2 linked regions of the Saccharomyces cerevisiae S288C genome follow. The protein of the gene in region 2 purifies or fractionates together with the protein of the main gene of each other region. This does not show direct contact. Each region holds a gene or a part of one and is shown on either strand. Other genes may lie near its edges. The genes, in order: PSA1 and PRS3.

Region 1 (17,969 bases), on a different chromosome or scaffold from region 2:
AGATGACATGCATGAGCCCATCAGGGATGAAGCTATTTTATTATTAATGGCAGTAGTGAACGATTCACCTCACGTTCAAAAATTGGTTGCTTTTGAAAACATTTTTGAAAGGCTCTTTTCCATCATCGAAGAAGAAGGTGGGTTAAGAGGCTCTCTCGTCGTCAATGATTGTTTATCGTTGATCAATAACATCCTGAAGTATAACACTTCTAATCAAACTTTATTCCTTGAGACAGGAAACTTGCCAAAACTGGCACACCTTTTGAGTGAACCAATATCTCAAGATGAAGTTTTTTTTTGGAATGATCAAAGGATAGTTAATATCAATACAGCTTTAGATATCGTCAGCCTAACAGTAGAGCCAGGAAATACTGTCACCACTAAGCATCAAAATGCGTTGCTTGACTCAAGCGTATTAATGGTTGTGTTGCGACTTGCATTCTTTCATAATATCCCAAAAAAAGTTAGACCGGTTGCTCTTTTGACTGCCGCAAACATGGTTAGAAGTAATGAACATGCACAGCTAGAGTTTAGTAAGATCGATGTTCCATATTTCGATCCTTCATTACCTGTAAACTCTACTGCAAACGGTGGTCCAATTAAATTAATTCCTGTAGTCAGCATCTTGATAAATTGGATGCTCTATGCCAACTCCGTTCACACGTTTGATACAAGAGTTGCGTGTTCTAGACTATTAAAGGCTTATTTCATGGATAATTTTGATCTTCAAAGAGATTTTTTACTAAAACAAGTCCAATTGTGTAATAATTCAACAAATAATGTCGGCGACAATGCTAAAGAAAATGGTGGTTCTAACAAATCTGATAAAGAAAGTGATTCAGATAAAGATACCGACGGGAAGGATGGCACTGAATATGAAGGTTCTTTCAAGGCAAATCTATTCGAAGTCCTGTTAAATTATGACGCAGAATTGAATCTGAACCCTTTTAAATTATTCTTCACAACTGATATTTTTATGTTTTTTTTCCAACAGGATCACAAATATAGCGAAGAACTACGTGAAATAACAAGAAATGTTACCACCGGTAACGATCTCGAAGACGAAGAACCCTTAAAGGCAATTCAAACAATAAGTGAATTGCTAACTACTTCCCTTACTGCTGCTGACATAAGAATTCCTATTTCCTACTTAACGTTCCTAATATATTGGCTCTTTGGCGACTTTAAGGCCACGAACGATTTTCTTTCGGATAAATCCGTGATTAAATCCTTGCTTTCCTTCTCTTACCAAATTCAAGATGAAGACGTTACTATCAAATGCCTTGTAACAATGTTACTAGGTGTGGCATACGAGTTTTCCTCGAAAGAATCTCCATTCCCAAGAAAGGAATACTTCGAATTCATCACTAAAACTTTGGGAAAAGACAATTATGCTTCTCGAATCAAACAATTTAAAAAAGATTCATATTTCTCAAAAGTTGATATGAATGAAGACAGTATACTAACTCCGGAGCTTGATGAAACTGGTTTACCAAAAGTTTATTTCAGCACTTACTTCATACAGTTATTTAATGAAAACATATACAGGATCAGAACTGCATTGTCTCACGACCCTGACGAAGAGCCAATCAATAAAATATCTTTCGAAGAAGTCGAAAAATTACAGAGGCAATGTACAAAATTGAAGGGTGAGATAACTTCTTTGCAAACAGAAACGGAAAGCACCCATGAGAACCTCACCGAAAAATTGATTGCGTTGACTAATGAACACAAAGAGTTGGATGAGAAATACCAAATTTTGAATTCCTCACATTCTTCGTTGAAAGAAAACTTTTCCATTTTGGAAACTGAATTGAAGAACGTCAGAGATTCCTTGGATGAAATGACGCAACTGAGAGATGTACTGGAAACTAAGGACAAAGAAAATCAAACTGCTTTACTGGAGTACAAAAGCACAATCCACAAACAAGAAGACTCTATCAAAACTTTAGAAAAAGGACTTGAAACTATTTTGTCTCAAAAGAAAAAGGCAGAAGATGGTATAAACAAAATGGGTAAAGATTTATTCGCTCTGAGTAGAGAGATGCAAGCAGTTGAGGAGAATTGTAAAAATTTACAGAAGGAAAAAGATAAAAGCAATGTCAACCATCAGAAAGAGACTAAATCACTAAAAGAAGATATTGCGGCAAAAATTACTGAAATAAAAGCTATCAATGAAAATCTGGAAGAAATGAAAATTCAATGTAATAATTTATCAAAAGAAAAGGAACATATTTCGAAGGAACTTGTTGAGTACAAATCCCGCTTTCAGAGTCATGACAATCTAGTAGCGAAACTAACAGAAAAATTGAAATCCTTAGCAAATAACTATAAGGATATGCAAGCTGAAAATGAGTCTCTAATAAAAGCTGTAGAAGAGTCAAAAAACGAAAGCAGCATACAATTGTCTAATTTGCAAAATAAAATTGATTCTATGTCACAGGAAAAAGAAAATTTTCAAATAGAAAGAGGCAGTATAGAAAAAAATATCGAACAACTAAAAAAAACCATCTCTGACTTAGAACAAACGAAGGAGGAAATTATCTCAAAATCCGATTCTTCAAAAGATGAATATGAGTCCCAGATTAGTCTCTTGAAAGAAAAATTAGAAACGGCGACAACAGCAAACGATGAAAACGTGAATAAAATCTCAGAATTGACTAAAACTAGGGAAGAGCTGGAAGCCGAGTTAGCAGCTTATAAAAATCTCAAAAATGAACTTGAAACAAAACTAGAAACTTCAGAGAAAGCTTTGAAAGAAGTTAAAGAAAACGAGGAGCATTTAAAAGAAGAGAAAATTCAACTCGAGAAGGAGGCCACTGAAACCAAACAGCAACTCAACAGCCTACGTGCCAATTTAGAATCATTAGAAAAAGAGCATGAAGATTTAGCAGCTCAGTTGAAGAAGTACGAGGAGCAAATTGCCAACAAGGAAAGGCAATATAACGAGGAAATATCTCAATTAAATGATGAGATTACTTCCACTCAACAAGAAAATGAATCAATTAAGAAAAAAAATGACGAACTGGAGGGCGAAGTTAAAGCAATGAAGAGCACTTCAGAGGAACAATCAAATTTGAAAAAGTCAGAGATTGATGCCTTAAATTTGCAAATTAAAGAGCTGAAAAAGAAGAACGAAACGAACGAAGCCAGTTTATTGGAGTCAATCAAAAGTGTAGAATCAGAAACGGTAAAAATTAAAGAATTACAAGACGAATGTAACTTTAAAGAAAAGGAAGTTAGTGAATTGGAAGACAAACTCAAGGCCTCAGAAGATAAGAACTCTAAATATTTGGAGCTACAGAAGGAATCGGAGAAGATAAAAGAAGAACTAGATGCTAAAACGACTGAACTAAAAATTCAATTGGAAAAGATCACTAATTTATCTAAGGCCAAGGAGAAATCAGAATCTGAGTTGTCTAGATTGAAGAAGACATCTTCTGAGGAAAGAAAAAATGCAGAGGAGCAATTGGAAAAATTGAAAAATGAAATACAAATCAAAAATCAGGCCTTCGAAAAGGAAAGAAAGCTACTTAATGAAGGATCTTCAACAATTACACAAGAATATTCTGAAAAGATCAATACTTTGGAAGATGAATTAATTAGGCTACAAAATGAAAACGAATTAAAAGCCAAAGAGATCGATAATACGAGGAGTGAACTAGAGAAGGTTAGTTTAAGCAATGATGAGCTTTTAGAAGAGAAACAAAACACAATAAAAAGCTTACAAGATGAAATTCTTTCATATAAAGACAAAATAACTAGAAATGACGAAAAGCTTCTATCAATAGAGCGAGATAATAAACGAGACCTGGAGAGCTTGAAAGAACAACTCCGGGCTGCACAAGAATCCAAAGCTAAAGTTGAAGAAGGGCTGAAAAAACTTGAGGAAGAATCTTCAAAAGAGAAAGCAGAGCTTGAAAAGTCTAAAGAAATGATGAAAAAGCTAGAGAGTACGATTGAGAGCAATGAAACGGAGTTGAAATCCTCAATGGAAACCATAAGGAAATCAGATGAAAAATTAGAACAGTCGAAAAAAAGTGCTGAGGAGGATATTAAAAACTTGCAACATGAGAAGTCAGATTTGATATCCCGAATCAACGAATCTGAAAAGGATATTGAAGAACTGAAAAGTAAACTGAGGATCGAAGCAAAATCTGGCTCTGAACTAGAAACCGTAAAACAAGAGCTAAATAACGCACAAGAAAAAATAAGGATCAACGCAGAAGAAAATACAGTTTTGAAATCTAAATTAGAAGATATAGAACGTGAACTCAAAGACAAGCAAGCCGAAATAAAAAGTAATCAAGAAGAAAAAGAATTACTAACTTCGCGCCTCAAGGAATTAGAACAGGAATTAGATAGCACCCAACAGAAGGCACAAAAATCCGAGGAAGAACGTAGGGCCGAAGTCAGGAAGTTTCAAGTCGAAAAGTCTCAACTTGATGAAAAAGCCATGTTGCTTGAAACTAAATACAACGATTTGGTGAATAAAGAGCAAGCATGGAAAAGGGATGAAGATACTGTTAAAAAGACAACCGATTCTCAGAGACAAGAAATTGAAAAGTTGGCTAAAGAACTGGATAACTTGAAGGCAGAGAACTCTAAGTTGAAGGAAGCTAACGAAGATCGTTCGGAAATTGATGACTTGATGCTCTTGGTTACTGACCTAGATGAGAAAAACGCCAAATATCGCTCAAAGCTGAAGGATTTGGGCGTTGAAATTAGTTCGGATGAAGAGGATGATGAAGAAGATGATGAAGAAGACGAGGAAGAAGGGCAAGTGGCATGATAGAGTTAAAATATGTGCATAAACAAATCGCTTGAACGATCTGTTTGATTATGTGGGCAGCACTACTTTTTTGTAATTATATATGCATATATACATTTTACTGACACTAAATGTTATATTTTCTATAACATCTAACATTACTTCACGCCTTCTAATTAAAGTATAGTTTGTGCAAACAATATGTGAGCTCACGTAGACAATTGTCTAATATATCATTAATGTCCCTTGCATAGAACTTCCTTTTTTTTTCTCAGCGTCGCAATATCTCTGTCGAGAAACGCTTACGCATTATAATAAGCCAAGGAAAAATAGCGAAAAGCCGATGCAGATCTACAGGAGTGATGAAAGTACTAAAAAGATCAGAAAAGGGAATATTTGTCAAATAACCAAGTCGAAATGGAAAAAAAACATGTCACTGTGCAAATACAAAGTGCTCCCCCCTCCTATATCAAATTGGAAGCAAATGAAAAATTCGTATATATTACAAGTACAATGAACGGCTTATCTTATCAAATTGCGGCTATAGTTTCATACCCAGAAAAGAGAAATTCATCAACTGCAAATAAAGAAGATGGTAAATTACTGTGCAAGGAAAATAAACTAGCATTGTTACTACACGGAAGTCAATCTCACAAGAACGCTATTTATCAAACTTTACTAGCAAAAAGGCTGGCCGAATTCGGATATTGGGTACTAAGAATAGATTTTAGGGGCCAAGGTGATTCCTCAGATAACTGCGACCCTGGCCTTGGTAGGACGCTCGCTCAGGATCTTGAAGATTTGAGTACAGTATACCAAACAGTATCTGACAGGTCTCTTAGGGTGCAATTGTACAAAACTAGTACAATATCACTGGACGTGGTTGTGGCACATTCTAGAGGATCTCTTGCCATGTTCAAATTCTGTCTAAAATTACATGCAGCTGAATCTCCATTACCGTCTCACCTGATCAATTGCGCTGGAAGATATGATGGGAGAGGACTTATTGAACGCTGCACACGACTGCACCCGCATTGGCAAGCAGAAGGTGGGTTTTGGGCGAATGGTCCACGAAATGGCGAATACAAAGACTTTTGGATACCATTAAGTGAGACTTATAGTATCGCTGGCGTTTGCGTTCCGGAATTTGCCACGATACCACAAACTTGTTCAGTAATGTCCTGCTATGGCATGTGTGATCACATAGTGCCAATTAGCGCAGCCTCAAATTATGCAAGGCTTTTCGAGGGCAGACATTCATTGAAACTTATTGAAAATGCGGACCACAATTATTATGGCATTGAAGGTGATCCCAACGCGCTAGGCTTACCGATAAGGAGGGGTAGAGTCAACTACTCACCACTAGTAGTTGATCTAATTATGGAATACCTGCAAGATACATAGACCATACAACTACATATTAATCTAAGATAAGTCTTGTGCTGAGTTTGGTCACTTTGCGGGATCACCCGCATAAAGTCGTCGGCATTGCAGTTTAAGATCAAATAGAGGCAATACTACGCTGTGAGACGATATTTCTGATCGTGATTAAACTGGTATTCCACATGTTCAGCATCCATTAGCCGTTAGAGATAATTCATTTACGTTCCTTTTTTCTCTTGCGCTTGAGATTGTTAGATTGTTAAATTACTACTGCTTTGTTTTTCCATCCGATTAGTATAATCAACAGATGAAAAAATGAAAAAAAGAAAACAAAATCAACATAACTTGCACAAGATTGAGCCATCGGAAAATAAAGCCCATTGTAATTCATATAACTAAACATCATATCAAGTGCGATTGGTCTGCAAAATCGTGCTTAACATTCCGAGACACAACGTAAATCCCAGAAACACAAGCATGTCTAACCAAATATACTCAGCGAGATATTCGGGGGTTGATGTTTATGAATTCATTCATTCTACAGGATCTATCATGAAAAGGAAAAAGGATGATTGGGTCAATGCTACACATATTTTAAAGGCCGCCAATTTTGCCAAGGCTAAAAGAACAAGGATTCTAGAGAAGGAAGTACTTAAGGAAACTCATGAAAAAGTTCAGGGTGGATTTGGTAAATATCAGGGTACATGGGTCCCACTGAACATAGCGAAACAACTGGCAGAAAAATTTAGTGTCTACGATCAGCTGAAACCGTTGTTCGACTTTACGCAAACAGATGGGTCTGCTTCTCCACCTCCTGCTCCAAAACATCACCATGCCTCGAAGGTGGATAGGAAAAAGGCTATTAGAAGTGCAAGTACTTCCGCAATTATGGAAACAAAAAGAAACAACAAGAAAGCCGAGGAAAATCAATTTCAAAGCAGCAAAATATTGGGAAATCCCACGGCTGCACCAAGGAAAAGAGGTAGACCGGTAGGATCTACGAGGGGAAGTAGGCGGAAGTTAGGTGTCAATTTACAACGTTCTCAAAGTGATATGGGATTTCCTAGACCGGCGATACCGAATTCTTCAATATCGACAACGCAACTTCCCTCTATTAGATCCACCATGGGACCACAATCCCCTACATTGGGTATTCTGGAAGAAGAAAGGCACGATTCTCGACAGCAGCAGCCGCAACAAAATAATTCTGCACAGTTCAAAGAAATTGATCTTGAGGACGGCTTATCAAGCGATGTGGAACCTTCACAACAATTACAACAAGTTTTTAATCAAAATACTGGATTTGTACCCCAACAACAATCTTCCTTGATACAGACACAGCAAACAGAATCAATGGCCACGTCCGTATCTTCCTCTCCTTCATTACCTACGTCACCGGGCGATTTTGCCGATAGTAATCCATTTGAAGAGCGATTTCCCGGTGGTGGAACATCTCCTATTATTTCCATGATCCCGCGTTATCCTGTAACTTCAAGGCCTCAAACATCGGATATTAATGATAAAGTTAACAAATACCTTTCAAAATTGGTTGATTATTTTATTTCCAATGAAATGAAGTCAAATAAGTCCCTACCACAAGTGTTATTGCACCCACCTCCACACAGCGCTCCCTATATAGATGCTCCAATCGATCCAGAATTACATACTGCCTTCCATTGGGCTTGTTCTATGGGTAATTTACCAATTGCTGAGGCGTTGTACGAAGCCGGAACAAGTATCAGATCGACAAATTCTCAAGGCCAAACTCCATTGATGAGAAGTTCCTTATTCCACAATTCATACACTAGAAGAACTTTCCCTAGAATTTTCCAGCTACTGCACGAGACCGTATTTGATATCGATTCGCAATCACAAACAGTAATTCACCATATTGTGAAACGAAAATCAACAACACCTTCTGCAGTTTATTATCTTGATGTTGTGCTATCTAAGATCAAGGATTTTTCCCCACAGTATAGAATTGAATTACTTTTAAACACACAAGACAAAAATGGCGATACCGCACTTCATATTGCTTCTAAAAATGGAGATGTTGTTTTTTTTAATACACTGGTCAAAATGGGTGCATTAACTACTATTTCCAATAAGGAAGGATTAACCGCCAATGAAATAATGAATCAACAATATGAGCAAATGATGATACAAAATGGTACAAATCAACATGTCAATTCTTCAAACACGGACTTGAATATCCACGTTAATACAAACAACATTGAAACGAAAAATGATGTTAATTCAATGGTAATCATGTCGCCTGTTTCTCCTTCGGATTACATAACCTATCCATCTCAAATTGCCACCAATATATCAAGAAATATTCCAAATGTAGTGAATTCTATGAAGCAAATGGCTAGCATATACAACGATCTTCATGAACAGCATGACAACGAAATAAAAAGTTTGCAAAAAACTTTAAAAAGCATTTCTAAGACGAAAATACAGGTAAGCCTAAAAACTTTAGAGGTATTGAAAGAGAGCAGTAAAGATGAAAACGGCGAAGCTCAGACTAATGATGACTTCGAAATTTTATCTCGTCTACAAGAACAAAATACTAAGAAATTGAGAAAAAGGCTCATACGATACAAACGGTTGATAAAACAAAAGCTGGAATACAGGCAAACGGTTTTATTGAACAAATTAATAGAAGATGAAACTCAGGCTACCACCAATAACACAGTTGAGAAAGATAATAATACGCTGGAAAGGTTGGAATTGGCTCAAGAACTAACGATGTTGCAATTACAAAGGAAAAACAAATTGAGTTCCTTGGTGAAGAAATTTGAAGACAATGCCAAGATTCATAAATATAGACGGATTATCAGGGAAGGTACGGAAATGAATATTGAAGAAGTAGATAGTTCGCTGGATGTAATACTACAGACATTGATAGCCAACAATAATAAAAATAAGGGCGCAGAACAGATCATCACAATCTCAAACGCGAATAGTCATGCATAAAATATACATAAATAGAGGAACTTTACATGTATCCATATACTGAAAAATAGATAAAACAATGAGATAATATTTATTAACTTCTACGTAAATAAAAAGTTACATAAGGATCAACCTTTTTTTCTTTATTTTCTTTTTTTTTTTTATTTTTCATTTTCAATTACAAACTAAGACATAACAGTAAGCAGTGCTTTTTCTGTGCATGTTTTCCTCTTTTTATAATGATATTGGCTAAAATAAAATTAACAAAAACAGATGAGTGATATAGATTATATTCATTACAGTTCGTTTTCCTAACTCACATAATAATAGCTTCCTTTGGAACATTATCGGAGATAGACTTATGAGGTAAGACTTTACCACCGTTGATGTAGATTTCGTCCTTAACTTCAACGTCGTCACCCAAGACAGTGACACCTTCCAAACGACACCATTGACCAACGGTAGAGTTCCAGCCTACGATGGTAGATTTGACCAAGGAGTGGTTCTTGATGGTGGAGTTGCACAAAACAACAGATCTGGTGATTCTAACACCATCACCGATGGTGACATTAGGACCGATAACCACGTCTGGGCCAATCTTAGCAGTGGAGGAAATCTTAGCGGTTGGGTCGATCAAGGCATTACCAACAATGTTGGCACCTGTAGCCAATTTTTTTGGTTGTCTCTTGGCCAAAGAGTTCAAGTAAAGAACGGTACCAGACAAGAAGTCCTTTGGTTGACCAACATCCATCCAGAAACCTTCCAAATCGAAGGAATATAGTTGTTTTTCTTCGACCAAGATTGGGAAAGTTTCCTTTTCAATTGAAGTTGGCTTCATTTCAATCAAGTCAATGACTTCTGGGTTTAAAATGTACAAACCGGCGTTAATTCTGTTACCAACAAATTCCTTTGGCTTTTCAACAAATCTGTCAATCAAGTTTGGAGTAGCTATATCATGGACAATGACACCGTATTTAGAAGGTTCGTCGACCTTGGTAGCAACAATGGTACCTTTACCACCGTGAGCTTTGTGGAAGTCAGCCAATTCCTTGAATGGATATTCGCAAATGACGTCGGAGTTTAGGACGAAAAATGGAGAGTTGTCCTTCTTCAAAACATCTTCAGCCAATTTCAATGGACCTGCAGTACCTAATGGTTCAGTTTCTACAGAGAAAGTGATGTTAACACCATATTCCTTTTCGTACTTCTTCAAAGTTTCCACCATGACTTCTGGTCTGTAATTAACAGCAAGAACGATGTCAGTAACACCAGCGTTGGCTAAAGCCTCGATTTGGTGTAAAATCATTGGTCTATTACCGAATTCAACCAGTGGCTTTGGAACGGTCAAAGTTAAAGGTCTCAATCTGGTACCGTAACCACCGACTAAAATTAAACCTTTCATTTTTCAATTATATATGTTTTATTTGTTGAAGTTGTAGCTTGTCTTGTGCTGATAATATTTTGTTTGTATAGTCAACAAAATATTTGGACAGAAGAAAAGAGTTAGCGAATGTAAAGTAGTTTGCACACTTGATGAACGTTATCAAAGTCAAAGAGGTGAGAACAAGATAGACAAAGAAAAAAAAAATACAGTTTTGGAGAAAAGAAAACAAGACTATGTGAAACTTCTAACAATGACGTGAAAAGTCTACTATATATATGTTTACAAGAGCGCCACGAGGCAAGGAAAAAAAGAAAACAAAGCGAGAAACCACCAGCTTACTTTACTACCGGTCAGCTGTGGTTCTGTGTCTGTTCGTCTGTTTGTTTGTTTGTTTGTTTATTGCTGCGCTGTTCATGCTGAAAAACGACAAAAACAAAGAAAAAAAAGTTTTTCAGAGATTGAGATAAAAATAAACGTGGTGGCTCCCGAGGCATTTCTAGCTGGCCAGCAAGTACACGGTGGCCGTTTCTTTTGGCGTTTTTTTTTTCTGTTTTCGCGTTCTTCATGCTGTGCGTTGCTGGTGAGGTGGCGTGGACGGTTTGGTTTAGGCAATGATAGAAAAAGCTATAGTCAGAGTTGCAGGAAAGGACGAAAGTAGTCCATTTGGTGCCGTTATCCAAGGGTCTTGCTCTTAGTCTTGCTTTTCACCCAGCACGCGGTAAGAAGGATCGGGTGCAGCATGAAGAATGCTGACTGTACGCGTTTCGATTTGAAGCTTTAGGATGTTCTGTGGGTTGGGTTGGCTCGATCGACAGTGCGTATAGTGACCTTTGAACTGTACCGGGTGGCACGTCGTGCACAGAATCAGAAGTAGTTATAAAAGATTTGTAATTGCGTATATGCAACCAAGTTTAGGCTTTCTCCGTGCCGTTTTTTAAGGTGAAATGTACTCCTCTTGAAAATGTAAAAAAATGGAGCCTCGCAGAGCAGCTTGCCAAGCAGGTTGATACAAGGTGAGCCGCCGAAACATAACGATAAACGTGGTATAGTTTTCGATTGCCTTTAGTTTGGGTGGTCTCAGTGCTGGCACCTGACGAACTATTCGTAGGCAGGAGAACTTGCATCATGTGGTGTTCTTCCGAGATAGGGATGCCGTTTGGTCCTTACGAAAGTCAATGTTCTGGTACTACTAATTATTAACATAGTTCGTTGTATACACACTCTTTACTTTCATAAGAAATAAAAAGCACGTCTAAGAAATCTCTACGTCTTGGCTGCGGCAAGCAACTGCATAGAAAGCACATAGTAGTAACTCTAAAATGCGAGCTTCATACAGACAATTACATAAATGCAACATAGGCAGCATGGGATCCTGGGTTTCATATCGTCAAAGAAAGCCACCAACTGGCTTTACCATAAAAATACGAAAAGAAGTGCACACATTCTTCTTTTTGGCTCATCACAAGTTCTTCAATTTACTGTCATTACTTTTGTTTCCTTGTCAGATAATGTATGGGTGGTGTGTACACCAAGGTATTTTTTTTTTTACTTGGCAGATCTGCAATGCATAATAGAATGGTAAGGGAACGAGTAACAGACGGGAAGCGAATGCGAACACAAAGAATATAAATTTGAAATCTCCTGTTGCAAAGGATTCTCTAGACATTTACTATCTCAGTGACAATTCTCGAGTGAAACAAGAAATTGAGATGGTAGGTCAGCGCCCATACTTCTTGAATCAATTGGAGGAGCGGATAAAGCAAGTTTCCCCCCTCAATGTAAATCATCTTAAGCAAAATTTTAAAATCTAGGCACATATAAAGAGAAAATGGGAATGATTTTGCTGGATAGGCTACAGTGTTAGGAATGCAGAATTAGGAACTATAGATGATGCGATTAAAGATATTAAACGAGAAGTGACAGTGGTGGCTTCGACAACGGCAGTCGTGCTCGGTCGACAACGTGTATGTTTTTGCCGAGCAGAGCAGGGAAAGTCCTTCTTTCTGCGCGTGAATCAAAACACATTGGTATCGAATTTAACATATCTGGGTGAGGAATGGACAATCCTAATAAAGTACTGGAGGTTTGTCTGTATTTCCAAGTTCTTGCTTGTAGAAACTGCTTTCTTTTCTCTTTTCCTGCAGCGGTCGAACATATGTGATTATTGATTAGCCATTTGTTCCAAGTCATATAGTAGTATTACGTGTTCAGATGCGGTGTTAGCGTATCTTTTTGTTAAATAAAATATCATTGTGCCGTTGCCGCCCTACCTGCCAAGGGTCAAAGAAGGCACCTTTATACGATGCCACCTTTTTATAGTATTCTACTACAGAGTCATCGTTCACCAGTTACTGTTCATTCTACTAAATTAGTATGGCGTGTTGCATAGAAGGAAGCATGAATTACAAGATCAGTAGAACAAAAAGTTCAACTGTTTGGAATTTAGTTGAACATGTGACGAAAGCTCTGCTACTAAGACAGGGGCAAAAAATAACAATATGTAAGCATAAGAAATGGGTCAATGTTGGGATACTTGGTGAATTCCGTTCTTTTTAGAAGCGGATTTTCTTATTCGTTTATATGTTGCCATTCATTACCCTATCATATTATGAATCTTCACATTTTATTTTCCATAAGATCTGATGACTGTTTCCCAATCACCTTACATCATATATGATAATGTACAATTGATATGAAGAATAGCAGTCGATGGATGATATTTTATTCTTATTATCAACATGTACAAAGTGTTGGAACGGTAAAGACCAGTGCAAATCTGATAAAACTTTAAAATAACATGGACAAATTTATGTCCAGGATTCTCCGAAGAACTCATCCTTGTTAGCTCAGTTGGTAGAGCGTTCGGCTTTTAAGCGCATTTGCTTAAGCAAGGATACCGAAATGTCAGGGGTTCGAGCCCCCTATGAGGAGTTCTTTCTTTTTTTCTCTCAATTTTTAACCGGTACCTTTAAAAGGGTATCAAAAACAATAGCATAGCATAAAAGAAATAAGTGCAATTTATTGGTGTCATTTATATAAGCTATGAATTTTAAAAAAAATAAATGTAGCAGTTTCTTTTTTGTTTAAATTCTGAGTTTTCTACTTTTTAATTTCCAAAATACTACAGCTGAAAGAACAGCGGATACAACGAATGCGATACTGCTGTACTTGTAGACAGCCGAAATACAGGACGGATTTCGCAGATCTCCTCCGCCACTCATACAGCGAGAATCGTAAAATTTGGCATACAACATGCAAAATATCATAGAACCTATAGCAGGTGCAATTAGTAAGCTACCGTAAACAGTCCCGAATGAGCGTTCGCCCCATACTAACAGGACCAGCGTCGGATAAACAGTGAAAAGTCCACCGTATACAATTCCAACCAATGATCCTGTAGGTACTAGCCCCCAGGGTGACGCTGAAGAGGTCATTTTCAATAAAAACAGTTGTGCACATACCCCTAATGAAAGGAAAGTCAACAGGATCCATTTAATTGATATTTTTTTCTTGGCGAAGAAGTCTGCCACTATGCCTGTGAGCAATCTCGTAAAAGTGGAAGATAGCGCGTATGTGGATAACAACTTTGTAGATAAGGTTGGCGCATCTAATTGGACTAGCAGGTTAGTCAGTGATCCCATATTGGCAATAAACATCTCGAGGGGCCCAAGTGATAACAAAATTGATACCGCTAGGATATATGTCACAGGATCACTAAAGATCCTTAGCATCGTCTGCGTAAACTTTTCTTGAACATGATTACTTCGTTCTAACAGCGGTGATTGTTCCACATCAGTTTGATCATCCAGCCGTTTTTGGTTGTCTTGCTCTTCATTAAAATGCAAAAGTGATACCACGCTGGTGGCTATCCATGCAAGTAGCCCAATAACGACATAAACGAGGGCAAATGTTTGGAATACTCTTCCCAGGTTTAAGTCACTATTGGACGAGGAAGAACTTGCGTTAGAGGACCAGAACCATTTGATTCTTAGCAGTTGAGAACCGACTACAGAAGAAATACCATAACATGTCGTTGGTAAGCTAATGGATAGTAGTTTTGTATGAGGATATAGCTTAGTGCATGTCAGTAAAGCGCTAAAGTATAAAGCGCTTGTTGATATACCTATGAAAACGAAACAAATGATGGATAGATTGAATGATGAGTCACCATTTCCTCCGAGAGATAACTCCGGATGATTAAAAACGTAAGCCAGATATGAATAGCTAGGTATGAACCCTATGATGGCTAAAAGACTTAAAGTAATGGGGCCATGAGAATCAGCGATCATCCCCAAGATTGGTGGCGTCAAGTACATCCCCAAATTAGTCATACTAGCGATGGTGTTGATTTGCCATGAGGAATAATTTAAATGTTTCTGCCACGGTTGAGAGTAAAGAGATATCAAAGTAATGAAGCCAGTTGACACCGCAGATAATAGCGAAAAGATGTATGCAACACGATGTGATGACTGAAGAGACAAAACATGGGGTAAGAGTAAGCGCGTATGGTATGAAAGGTAGTGCTCCACCTTTGATAGAGGCATGATTTGCACTTGGAAAATGGTTATTGCTATAAAATGATATGAAAGGAAACTAGTCTCGATGAAACGTTAGAAGTTGCTGTCTGAGTAGCGGTCTCTGTTATCTTGTATTTACACTGTATAATAGTTTTTCTTGTAGGGCAAAAAGAAAGGTACTAATTTCCGAACGATGCGAAAAGCCGCTAGCATCGGAAAGGCTAAGTGAACTATGCAATAAAGACTAAGAGAAAAAGCAAAGAAAGGCGTCTTAACACAGTATACATTTTTCGACATTATGAATTATAAAATTTTTATTTACGCTTGTAAAATAATATTTTCATTTCTTCTATTTTCCTCTTTTCTTCGTTTTCTTGACTTCATACTTCATTTTTTGTTTGACTCCTTTTTGCGTTATGAAACGTGATGCTTCGATATTCTCATTGGTTTCTTAAAACTTTAGCAATATCGGACAAACAGCCGTATTTTTTATTCTTATTTTTACTGCTTGATACAGTACCCCAGTCAGTGGCTGTTGAAACTCTGCCACTTGCCGTTTCTGATAGTACTTGCTTATAAGTTTTCATTGAATGACTTTTTTCACCAGCGGTATAGCTCTGAAATAATTTGTGCATATACGATCTAACTTCTTCTCTATTGTAAGGTTGTTTATTCGCTCTTTTAAATTTCTTATTTGTGGATGATCCATTGGCGGTGGAACTACCCTTTATATTAGCAGGCGGCGCGGTAGATGCGATGGTTTTAGTCTTCGTATTAGCAGGTTGTACAGCCACGGAATCATCTTTTCGTGCCTGCTGTTGCTGTTGCTGTTGCCTTGGAAGGGCTTTGGCAGCTGCCTGCGCCCAACCTGTTAATTTTGGCTTCTGAGGAAGCACAGCGGGCGTTGGACCATTTGAATTTGGACCTGAAGCAGATAAAGTAGCCTTCAAAGTCGAGGAGGTTCTGCCATCTACACTGGTTGTTGAGGTTGTTGTCATTTCGTACTAGATTAAAGGGAAAATTGTATCGTAAATAAGTAATAAAGTTAATGAAAATTCGGAAACAAAAATGGATAGATATTAAACAGTGAACAAATGAAAAATTTCAGAAAAAAAGAATTAAAAAAAAAAAGGGAAAAAATATGCACAAGATCGTATTATTTGTTGTTCCTCGTATTTTTCTTTCTATTTAGTCTCACATTTTTGACACATGCCTGGTGTTATATATACATTACAATGGAAAGTTCTTTTCTCTTTCTCCGAATAAAGTAGCGGTCTATTGATCACTTCTTACGCTGGGTATATGAGTCGTAATAAATAAAATCATCAGAATCATTCGTAAGTCATTTTACTTTTTTAAAAAGATAATTACAGTTTTTGGGTCTATATACTACTCTAAAAATGTGGTGGTGGCTTAATGCATCTTTTTTACAGATGAACCTTCGTTATGGGTATTGACATCGTTGCTAATGCTGACAGAAGGCACAGGCTCATTCTTGATTTTCTTGTTCACTTTCTTGTCATGTTGAAGAGCGGCATACTCAATAGCTTGTGGTGGGAGGGTTGTATCGTTGATGGCGGGAGAGTAGCCAATCTCCTTCAAAGTGTCAACCATTTGATCTCTAACTTTTTCAGCAAATTCACCAATTTTGTCCTTTGTTAAGTTCTCGGTTGAAATAGGTTTTAAAATTCTAACAATCATACAGCCTCTGTTGAAGACCCCATATTTAGGACTTACTAAAGTACTGGTATTGGAAACAACCACTGGAACAATGGGGATCTTACCCTGTTGTGCCAAATGGAAAGCACCCTTCTTGAAAGGCAACATTGTCAGCTCACTCGTGTAAGACCTGGTACCCTCAGGAAAAACCCATAGAGCACGCTTGTTTTTCTTAACATTTTCTAAACCTTTATTCAAGGTGTCAATGGCTTCTTGCCTTTTAGATCTGTCTAAGAAATATGTACCACTCAAAGCCATGAACCAACCCAGAAAGGGGACGTATTTCAAAGACTTCTTGGCAGTAACTGTGCAACCAGGGGGGAAAATCCTACCTAACATGAAGATATCCAAGGTGGATTGGTGATTGGCAATCATAATATATGGCTTCTTGGCCAAATTCTCCTCGCCAACGACCTTGACGTCAAGGCCAAGCATCAATTTCATGACATGGTAAAAACAACGCGCAGTAATCCACTGAGCCAAATGTTGCTTACCGATTAACGTGCAAAGGATAGAGGCGATTACACCGTAAAAGCCACAGCCTGCAAGCGCCAGTACGACCAACACGGACCTCAAGTAATACAAGAACCTACCTATCACACTCATTATTTTTTTGCTCGAATTCACTGACGGAGGGAAACCACTAAACTTCTCTATTGAAGAATTCCCCCTTCACCTTAAACCCTTCCTAATATAAGTATTTTGAACACCATACCATATTCTCAACAAAACAAAGGAAGCATAATTGATATCATCATTCACGAGATCCATCTCGTGACCGTGAAAAAATTTTCGTCTTCGTCTTAGTGTAATGTGTTCAGCCCAACCTCATCGCAATATCTCAAGATTTTTGAATTACAACCAAATCAAAAGCACAGAGTCGCATCTCATCGCTATGATGTATTTTTTTCTTTTTCCAAAAAATGGGTTCTATTTGGTTCTACTGGAACTAAAGTAGCATCTGCAAAGAAGTAATGTCTGAAAAACCACAACAAGAGGAGCAAGAGAAACCACAATCAAGACGTAATTCATTTGCTGTGATTGAATTTACTCCAGAAGTCTTGGACAGATGTTTAAAGCAAGTGGAATTCTACTTTTCTGAATTCAACTTTCCATATGACAGGTTCTTGCGCACAACAGCGGAAAAAAACGATGGATGGGTCCCCATCAGCACCATCGCCACATTCAACCGTATGAAGAAATATAGACCAGTGGATAAGGTTATCGAAGCACTACG
Region 2 (10,201 bases):
GGATTATTACCTTCAATCGACTTGGGCGATGAGTTTGCAACTTATGAGACTTTTAAGATAGGAGTACCAGATATTCCTAATATTCTGGAATTAGAGCATTTAACTGTGATGGGAAATGTGTTTTTTGGTCGTAATATAACTCTGAAAGGGACGGTCATTATAATATGTGATGAAAATGATGTAATTACTGTTCCCGATGGCTCTATTTTGGAAAATGTAACGATTTGGCATAAATCTCAGCTGGAGGATATGAATGGATATTAAACAAGAGAAACTTTTGGGTAAAATGCATGAATAAAGTTTTCTTCTATTCCCACTATGTAAGAGGAATCATGTATCCTCACAGAAAAAAAAAACTGGAGCACATTGCAATAGTGGCATTACATTGCAATTTGTGGGAAGAGAAGTATACACATCAGATACGTAGGTATTTATCAAATTCTGAAAATCACTCATCATTTTTGTAGTATTTTTTTTCTCCCCATTTATTCTTCAGTCACTTATAAGGGATAATTCTTAAATAAATAAGAAATACTTTCACCATTATGCAAACGACGAATACTTTCAGCCAGCACACTACTGATGTCAATGACTGCCAGTTTTGGGCACTTCTTGATTTTTTCTTCAAATGGAACAGTATTTGTGCAAACAACTCTATCCAGTTTAGAATTGTTAATATTTTCAATAGCTCTGCCTGATAAAACACCGTGCGTGACAATAGCAATAACAGATTTAGCTCTATTCTCCAAAAGAATTTCAGCAGCCTTAGCTAAAGTACCACAAGTATCGGCCATATCATCAACAATGATACAAATCTTATCAGTAACATCCCCAACAAGAACCATACGAGAAACCTCATTGGCACGAGCTCTTTCCTTATGGATCAATGCAAAATTTAGATCCAAACGATCAGCCAAAGTGGCAGCACGTTTTGCCCCACCAGCATCTGGCGAAATTATTATTGAATCCATATAGTTGACATTTTCCTTGATATACCTAACTACGCTTGGTTCTGCATATAAATTATCTACTGGGACGTCGAAGAACCCTTGAATTTGGGAAGCATGCAAATCCATAGTAATAACATGATCACACCCGGCTGTTGTTAACATATCGGCCATCAATTTAGCGGTAATAGGAGCACGAGACTTATCCTTTCTATCTTGTCTTGCATATGGGAAATTTGGAATAATAGCAGTGATTCTTCTTGCAGACGCAGTCTTCGAAGCATTGATCATGATCAGTAGTTCTAGAACACGATCGTTCACGACACCAGAGCCAATTTGCGTGATGATAAAGATATCTTGGTCCCTAACAGATTCTCCAATAGAAAAGGAAACCTCACCGGTTGGATCTCTCTTTAGTTTGCTGCTTGTTAACTGTAGACCTAGCCTTTTGGCAACAAGTTCAGCTAAACCTCGGTGGACATCTGGTGCTAATAATTTGATGGAATTTGTTGGCATTTTGTAATCCTAAGTGAATATATGAGGCTCAGTTTGAATGGGTAGGTTCGTTTATCCTGCGCTGGCAAAGTACGTAGAAAAAAGAGTATGAATCTTTCTTAGATATATTCAAGAAAAAGTAAGTAAATAAGAGGGTACGTGATTATAAACAGATACGAGTTTAGCGAATAATACCGTTCGCAATCATAACTTTATAAAACTCATCCTATTACTTACTATTCGACTGGAAAATTTTCGCAGGCAAAAAAAAAAAAAAAAAAAAAAGAAAAGAAAAATCGATGAGCCTGCCGTACACAGAGATATAATAAATTTAGAATGCAAGAATGGTATGGCGGTGATGAAGATAATCATTTCCCTGCTTTTTTATTTTTGTTGCGCTTCTTCTTGCTTTTGGATGCCTGTGCTGCCCCATGTGGTTGCTGTATTAGGATGGTACCTTCTTTTACACTCTCATCAGCGTCTTTGAATTTTTCTTGAGAATCTAGATAAAACATTAGGTCCTTGACTTGCTCTTCCAAATCTTGTTTAGACTCTTCTAACGCTTTGTTTTCTCGCTCTAACTGCTCTTGTTTTTTTGATAAGTGATCTAGGTTCGCTTGTAGTCCTTCGATTACTAACATATCTTCCTCAAGCTTAGATTTCTGGGCCATTTCCCTTTTCTGCCACTCCTTTTGAGTGACCTGAAATTGGAGTTTCAAATCTTCCATAGACTTCTTCAAACTTTCAACATTCGAAGAATCAGACGCAGTTTGATCTTTTTCTTGTAATTTCAGTTCATAATATTCTCTTTGAGACTCTAATTGAGATATTAGGACTTGCACATATTCTAGATGATACTCCCTATGCCTTAAAAAATTTGCCGCCAGCTCGCCATCTTTTTTATTAGAGTTCGATTTCTCACCGTTTTTGCTCCTGTTCCCGTAAACAACATTTTGTAGTTCATCGGAGTTGCCTATATCATTGTTGTCATCGTCACCGGAGCCGCCGACCTCTACTAACTTCCCATCAACTTCATTTTGAACTAGGCGATGGACATAATTATCACCCGCATAATCCCACACTCTTTGTGTCCGTATATCCATCGCAAAACAATGTAAAGTTTCTTCATAATGCTTGATTGCGTGTTTGGAATTGTAACGACCGCATCCAACATTACCGCAGATCAAGCAAATCCATAGATTATCAGTGGAACCACATGTTGCACAATGTGCGGAATCACCTGCCTGTTTCAATAATGATTCCCTGCTTAGCCGCAGACTTGAATGTCGACACACTGGACACCTTGAATTCTTCCACTTATTTAAGCATTGGCAATGAAAAGTGTGCTGGCACGGGATCGTTACTAATCCAGTAGTTTCTGAATCCATTCTTTCAAGGCAAACGGGACATGTGGGGAGTTCGACTTTTACCAGTTCCTTTTTTTTCTTAACAGTGAATGGATCAGTAAGCAGATAGGGGAAGTCCTCGTTAGCGGCTGGTCTTTGGAAGAGCTTTTTTTGAAAAACTATTTCTTTTACAGAGATCACATGGCATGTTTCGGGATCCATCCTGCTGAAACTTTTGCCATTGAACTCTTCCTTGAAATTTTTCGCATCAAGTGCATTCCTGAATTTAATTAAGACCGTGAAATTAAAACCCATTCCCTTCTGCTGATTTCGTAATATACGAAAGTTTGAAACTTGCTTATTAACAATATCATCACCAATATAAAAATGCAATAAATCGTGAACGGTAAAATAAGTTGGAACAAACAGGATACATATCATAGTATCATCTCCCGGGATAGTCAAAATCTCCTTCTCATTAAGAGTATTATTGGCATTGCTTAGCTTGAATAGCCTTATTATCCCATGGCCTAAGTATTGTGAAGTAATCAAATCACTTTCCTCTTCTTTTGATGTTTGATTTTTGAAATCAGTTATCATGTCTATTTCCAAGTCACAGACTCTCCAATCCTGCCAGTCTTGATTATTACTTTTAATACTTTCTTCCCCGATACTTTTTGCCTTCAACTTTTTCGGAATACTCTTGAAAATTTGATAAGCGGATTCAACCTGATTTTGGTTTCCAAATTCTAAAGTAATGATATACTCAAATTGATCCATAGATGTGAGGGCCAACCAGAAAGTAATACATTCAATGCTACTATTCCGTTATTGCCTCTATGTGTTTTCCTTTGAACTTTTACTTAATCCGCGGGTGAAATTTCATTTTTATATTTTCCATTTTATAACAGGCCGTCCCCTAAAAACACCGCGTAAGAACATAGTTTATACACTTATATAAGTAAAAGGTGTAGTAGGTTGGAATGGTAAAGGGCGTATTGTGTGTCAATTATGCGATGAAAATGTATACTTCGAAGTCAATAAAAAAAGAACCTGGTTTGCCTCATGAAGATGTTGCCTGCCCTTTCTTATTTAGTGTTTGTAAGTTATTTTTGTCAAAGTCTATTCATTCATTCAAAGTAGCTTCCTCCACTAGAAAATCGATTAAACTTCTTGGATACGCAGGTCCATGGGTATGACAACATTCTTGTCCTTGCAATTTGCTCATAACGTATGTCACATCAAAGTCCCTCTCTTCTGAAAGTTTGTAAAGATACTCCCAGGTGGCGGGGACTGTTAGTACATGTCTTCCTGCTTCGTCAGTATACTGGGTATTTCGCTTCATAATTTCATTATCCTTTAGCGAATACTTGCCTTTGTGATTCAGTTTGCTTTCCAGGACCATAGAGGTAAAAAATTCATCTTTCGTTGGGAAAGAATATTTGTAGTTGGTATCATCTTCTATGTCCTTTGAAAAATTTTCATTACCACTCCGCAGTAGCAGTCTGTTCTCTGCGTTGATTTCAGTATTTGCCTTTCTTAGTTCCTCAATTTCTTTCAATAAACTTTGGCGGTTCCTTTCACTTTCTAACAATTTATCTTGTAATTCTTTCATTCTGGCTTCTTTTCTCTCTCTGAAGGCTTTTTGGGCGGCTCTGTTTTGAGCCTTTTTCTTTGCCTTAGAGTCATCTGGAACATTCTCATTATGAGCAACTGAGGGACTCCTCGAACTTGGAGATATACCATTATTTTTAGAAAAATAATTTGTATTACTATAACTATCATTATCATTATTATTGTTATCTGCCATAACATAGGTAGAGTAGTCGCCTGAAATAGGGGTTAGTTGAATTGCTTGAAGATCACTACCCTTAGGGAAAGATATGTTGTTCTGTAATAGCAAATCATTATTTGATCTGTCAAGGTTCAAAGCAGGACACTGGTCTTCCAAAATTGGGAAGGGTGCTGTTTGCTCGCTCAATAGGTCTGGTTGTTGTTTTATACATTTGCTATCTTCTTGGAATAGACTATTTCTGATACAACAATCCTCCTCTTGGCATTGAGGGTTAATAAATTTCATGAATCCGCTGGTATTATCATCCATATTAGAAGGCGTCATAACAATTGCTTCAGCCTTATTCTTCGTTAGTTTATACTGGAAGTAAAGCAAACACCTACTGCCCCTTTTATCGAAATGATAAACAAATAAGAAAGCTCAGAGGGCCTCCGGTAATATTCAAATCGATCTGTTTTATAATGCTTATTGAATAATAATGCCGTTGCTGTACTCTTAACATAAAGCTACGAAAATCCACTATACATTTTTCTAAAGAAAAAAAAAAAATTCAAAAAAAATTGATTTCGCCCAGGATCGAACTGGGGACGTTCTGCGTGTTAAGCAGATGCCATAACCGACTAGACCACGAAACCAAATTCTTATTGATTATGTTGTATTACGGGCTCGAGTAATACCGGAGTGTCTTGACAATCCTAATACAAACAGTCTTAGGGAAGTAACCAGTTGTCAAAACAGTTTATCAGATTAATTCACGGAATGTTACTTATCTTATATATATTATATAAAATATGAATCATACTGTTGGAACGAGAGTAATTGATAGTGACATGAGTTGCTATGGTAACAATCTAATGCTTACATCGTATATTAATGTACAACTCGTATACGTTTAAGTGTGATTGCGCCTATTGCAGAAGGAATGTTAAACGAGAAGCTCAGACAATACTGAAGCGGTGTTAAAGACCTATTAGTTGAACATGTTATGGTAGGTACATATATGAGGAATATGAGTCGTCACATCAATGTATAGTAACTACCGGAATCACTATTATATTGGTCATAATTAATATGACCAATCGGCGTGTGTTTTATATACCTCTCTTATTTAGTATAAGAAGATCAGTACTCACTTCTTCATTAATACTAATTTTTTACCTCTAATTATCAACATGGCGACCCCAGTGAGGGATGAAACAAGAAATGTTATTGACGACAACATTTCTGCGCGGATTCAATCGAAAGTCAAAACAAATGATACTGTCAGACAGACGCCATCATCATTAAGAAAAGTTTCTATTAAAGATGAACAGGTGAAACAATATCAAAGAAACTTAAATAGGTTTAAAACCATACTAAATGGTTTAAAGGCAGAAGAGGAAAAACTTTCTGAGACTGATGATATTCAGATGCTAGCTGAAAAATTATTAAAACTCGGAGAAACCATTGACAAGGTTGAGAATAGGATTGTGGATCTAGTTGAAAAGATACAATTATTGGAAACAAACGAGAACAATAATATATTACATGAACATATAGATGCTACAGGGACTTACTATTTATTCGATACGTTAACTTCAACCAACAAAAGATTCTACCCTAAGGATTGTGTTTTTGATTATAGGACTAATAATGTCGAGAACATTCCTATTCTCTTAAACAATTTTAAAAAATTCATCAAGAAATATCAATTTGATGATGTCTTTGAAAATGATATCATAGAAATCGATCCTCGTGAAAATGAAATCTTGTGCAAGATAATCAAAGAAGGACTCGGTGAAAGTTTAGATATCATGAACACAAATACAACTGACATTTTTAGGATAATCGATGGTTTAAAAAACAAATATAGAAGTTTACATGGTAGAGATGTCAGAATTAGAGCCTGGGAAAAGGTTTTGGTTGATACAACATGTAGAAATTCCGCATTGTTAATGAATAAACTTCAAAAGTTGGTACTAATGGAAAAATGGATTTTTTCTAAATGCTGCCAAGATTGTCCTAATCTAAAGGATTACCTACAAGAAGCTATCATGGGAACCTTACATGAATCCTTAAGAAATTCTGTGAAACAACGTTTGTACAACATTCCACATAACGTAGGAATTAATCACGAAGAATTTCTAATCAATACTGTTATTGAAACAGTAATTGATTTGAGCCCAATTGCAGACGATCAAATAGAAAATAGCTGCATGTATTGCAAATCTGTTTTCCATTGCTCAATTAACTGCAAAAAGAAACCAAATAGGGAACTTAGGCCTGACTCGACCAATTTCTCAAAAACCTATTATCTACAAGGTGCACAGAGACAACAACAACTTAAGTCCAGTGCAAAACGAACAAAAGTCTTGGAACAAGACACAAAAAAAGTCAAACAAAGTGTACAACAGCAAAAAACTGGTAATTATTGATACCGGTTCCGGCGTAAACATTACCAATGACAAAACCTTACTGCATAATTACGAAGACAGTAATCGCAGTACACGATTTTTTGGTATTGGGAAAAACAGTTCAGTGTCTGTTAAAGGGTATGGCTATATAAAAATCAAGAATGGTCACAACAATACTGACAATAAGTGTTTATTGACTTACTATGTACCGGAAGAAGAATCCACTATAATCAGCTGTTATGACTTAGCCAAGAAAACCAAAATGGTTTTAAGTCGAAAATATACCAGATTGGGAAACAAAATCATAAAAATTAAAACCAAGATAGTTAATGGTGTCATTCACGTAAAAATGAACGAGTTAATTGAACGTCCTTCCGATGATTCAAAAATAAATGCAATAAAACCTACTTCTTCTCCTGGATTTAAACTAAATAAAAGGTCTATTACCTTGGAAGATGCTCATAAAAGAATGGGCCATACAGGAATTCAACAAATTGAAAATTCCATAAAACATAATCATTATGAAGAATCCCTTGACTTAATCAAAGAACCAAATGAATTTTGGTGTCAAACCTGTAAAATCTCTAAAGCCACGAAAAGAAATCATTATACCGGGTCTATGAATAATCATAGTACTGATCATGAACCAGGATCATCATGGTGCATGGATATATTTGGCCCTGTATCAAGTTCAAACGCGGACACTAAAAGGTACATGCTTATTATGGTGGATAACAACACGAGATATTGCATGACCTCCACACACTTCAATAAGAATGCTGAAACTATTTTAGCTCAAATCAGAAAGAATATTCAGTACGTGGAAACACAATTTGACAGGAAAGTCAGAGAAATTAATTCAGACAGAGGTACTGAATTCACAAATGATCAGATAGAAGAATATTTTATTTCAAAAGGAATACATCACATACTTACTTCTACACAAGATCATGCTGCTAATGGAAGAGCAGAAAGATACATCAGAACAATAGTAACTGATGCAACAACACTCCTAAGACAAAGTAACTTAAGAGTAAAATTTTGGGAATACGCAGTAACTTCTGCTACCAATATAAGAAATTGCCTGGAACACAAAAGTACAGGTAAACTACCATTGAAGGCAATCTCACGTCAACCTGTTACAGTGAGATTAATGTCATTCTTACCATTTGGCGAAAAAGGAATAATTTGGAATCATAATCACAAAAAATTGAAACCATCTGGACTTCCTTCTATAATTCTATGCAAAGATCCAAATAGTTATGGATACAAATTCTTTATACCATCCAAAAATAAAATTGTCACATCTGATAATTATACAATTCCCAACTATACGATGGACGGTAGAGTAAGAAATACTCAGAATATTTACAAGAGTCATCAATTCAGTTCACATAATGATAATGAAGAAGATCAAATCGAAACGGTCACAAACTTATGTGAAGCTTTGGAAAACTACGAAGATGATAATAAACCAATTACTCGCCTGGAAGATTTGTTCACAGAGGAAGAGTTATCTCAAATAGACTCAAACGCAAAATACCCATCTCCTAGTAATAACCTAGAAGGGGACTTGGATTACGTATTTTCTGATGTTGAGGAATCTGGAGATTATGACGTTGAATCTGAACTTTCAACGACAAATACTTCAATCTCAACTGATAAAAACAAAATTTTGTCAAACAAGGATTTTAATTCAGAACTTGCATCGACTGAAATATCCATCAGTGAAATCGATAAGAAAGGATTAATAAATACAAGTCATATTGATGAAGATAAGTATGATGAAAAAGTCCACAGAATTCCATCGATTATACAAGAGAAACTGGTAGGAAGTAAAAATACTATTAAAATCAATGACGAAAACAGAATCTCCGACAGAATTCGTAGTAAAAATATTGGGAGTATCTTAAACACTGGACTCAGTAGATGTGTAGATATCACCGATGAATCTATTACTAACAAAGATGAGTCAATGCACAACGCAAAACCCGAACTAATTCAGGAGCAGTTCAATAAAACAAATCATGAAACTTCGTTTCCTAAAGAAGGGAGCATTGGAACAAATGTAAAATTCCGAAATACAGACAATGAGATTTCTTTAAAAACAGGCGATACGAGTTTACCAATAAAAACTTTAGAAAGCATTAACAATCACCATAGTAATGATTATTCCACAAACAAAGTTGAAAAGTTTGAGAAGGAAAATCATCATCCGCCCCCGATTGAGGACATTGTGGATATGAGTGATCAAACTGATATGGAATCAAACTGTCAGGATGGTAATAACTTAAAAGAATTAAAAGTCACCGATAAAAATGTACCAACTGACAATGGAACAAATGTGTCACCAAGGTTGGAACAAAATATTGAAGCATCTGGATCACCAGTACAAACAGTTAATAAAAGTGCCTTCTTAAACAAAGAATTCAGTTCTTTGAACATGAAAAGAAAACGGAAAAGACACGATAAAAACAATAGTCTAACAAGCTATGAATTAGAAAGAGATAAGAAGCGTTCAAAAAGGAATCGAGTGAAATTAATTCCAGATAATATGGAAACAGTTTCAGCACAAAAAATTAGAGCCATATATTATAATGAAGCTATTTCAAAAAATCCTGACCTCAAAGAAAAACATGAATACAAACAGGCATATCATAAAGAATTACAGAATTTAAAAGATATGAAGGTATTTGATGTCGATGTGAAGTACAGTAGATCAGAAATCCCTGATAATTTAATAGTACCCACCAACACGATATTCACAAAGAAAAGAAATGGGATTTATAAGGCTAGGATAGTCTGCAGAGGTGATACTCAGTCACCAGACACTTACAGTGTAATAACTACAGAATCTTTAAATCACAATCATATTAAGATATTCTTAATGATTGCAAACAACAGAAATATGTTTATGAAGACCCTGGATATCAATCATGCATTCCTATATGCTAAATTGGAAGAAGAAATATACATCCCACATCCGCATGATAGGAGATGTGTAGTCAAGCTAAATAAGGCGTTATATGGTCTAAAACAGAGTCCTAAAGAATGGAATGATCATCTAAGACAATACTTGAATGGAATTGGACTGAAAGATAACTCTTATACTCCGGGATTATACCAAACCGAGGATAAAAATCTAATGATTGCAGTCTATGTTGATGACTGCGTAATTGCGGCAAGCAATGAACAGAGATTGGATGAATTCATAAACAAATTGAA

The links.
Region 1: the proteins of PRS3 (region 2) and PSA1 purify together in Saccharomyces cerevisiae (affinity purification with mass spectrometry, with the first as the bait; one large-scale study listed by BioGRID). This does not show direct contact.

What each region holds. Positions count from the first base shown.
Region 1 is NC_001136.10:346,246-364,214, forward strand, and holds PSA1 (mannose-1-phosphate guanylyltransferase), read right to left. Parts: upstream 10,515-17,969; coding exon 9,429-10,514; downstream 1-9,428. Other genes in the region: USO1 (Uso1p), read left to right, coding at 1-4,792; YDL057W (uncharacterized protein), read left to right, coding at 5,189-6,175; transcription factor MBP1, read left to right, coding at 6,632-9,133; MCH1 (Mch1p), read right to left, coding at 13,580-15,040; PBP4 (Pbp4p), read right to left, coding at 15,454-16,011; 1-acylglycerol-3-phosphate O-acyltransferase SLC1, read right to left, coding at 16,427-17,338; tRNA maturation protein LHP1, read left to right, coding at 17,707-17,969. UniProt on the Saccharomyces cerevisiae protein: Involved in cell wall synthesis where it is required for glycosylation. Involved in cell cycle progression through cell-size checkpoint.
Region 2 is NC_001140.6:80,154-90,354, forward strand, and holds PRS3 (ribose phosphate diphosphokinase subunit PRS3), read right to left. Parts: upstream 1,464-10,201; coding exon 501-1,463; downstream 1-500. Other genes in the region: YHL012W (UTP--glucose-1-phosphate uridylyltransferase), read left to right, coding at 1-264; ETP1 (Etp1p), read right to left, coding at 1,811-3,568; YAP3 (Yap3p), read right to left, coding at 3,915-4,907; YHL009W-A (gag protein), read left to right, coding at 5,756-6,997. UniProt on the Saccharomyces cerevisiae protein: 5-phosphoribose 1-diphosphate synthase involved in nucleotide, histidine, and tryptophan biosynthesis. Active in heteromultimeric complexes with other 5-phosphoribose 1-diphosphate synthases (PRS2, PRS3, PRS4 and PRS5).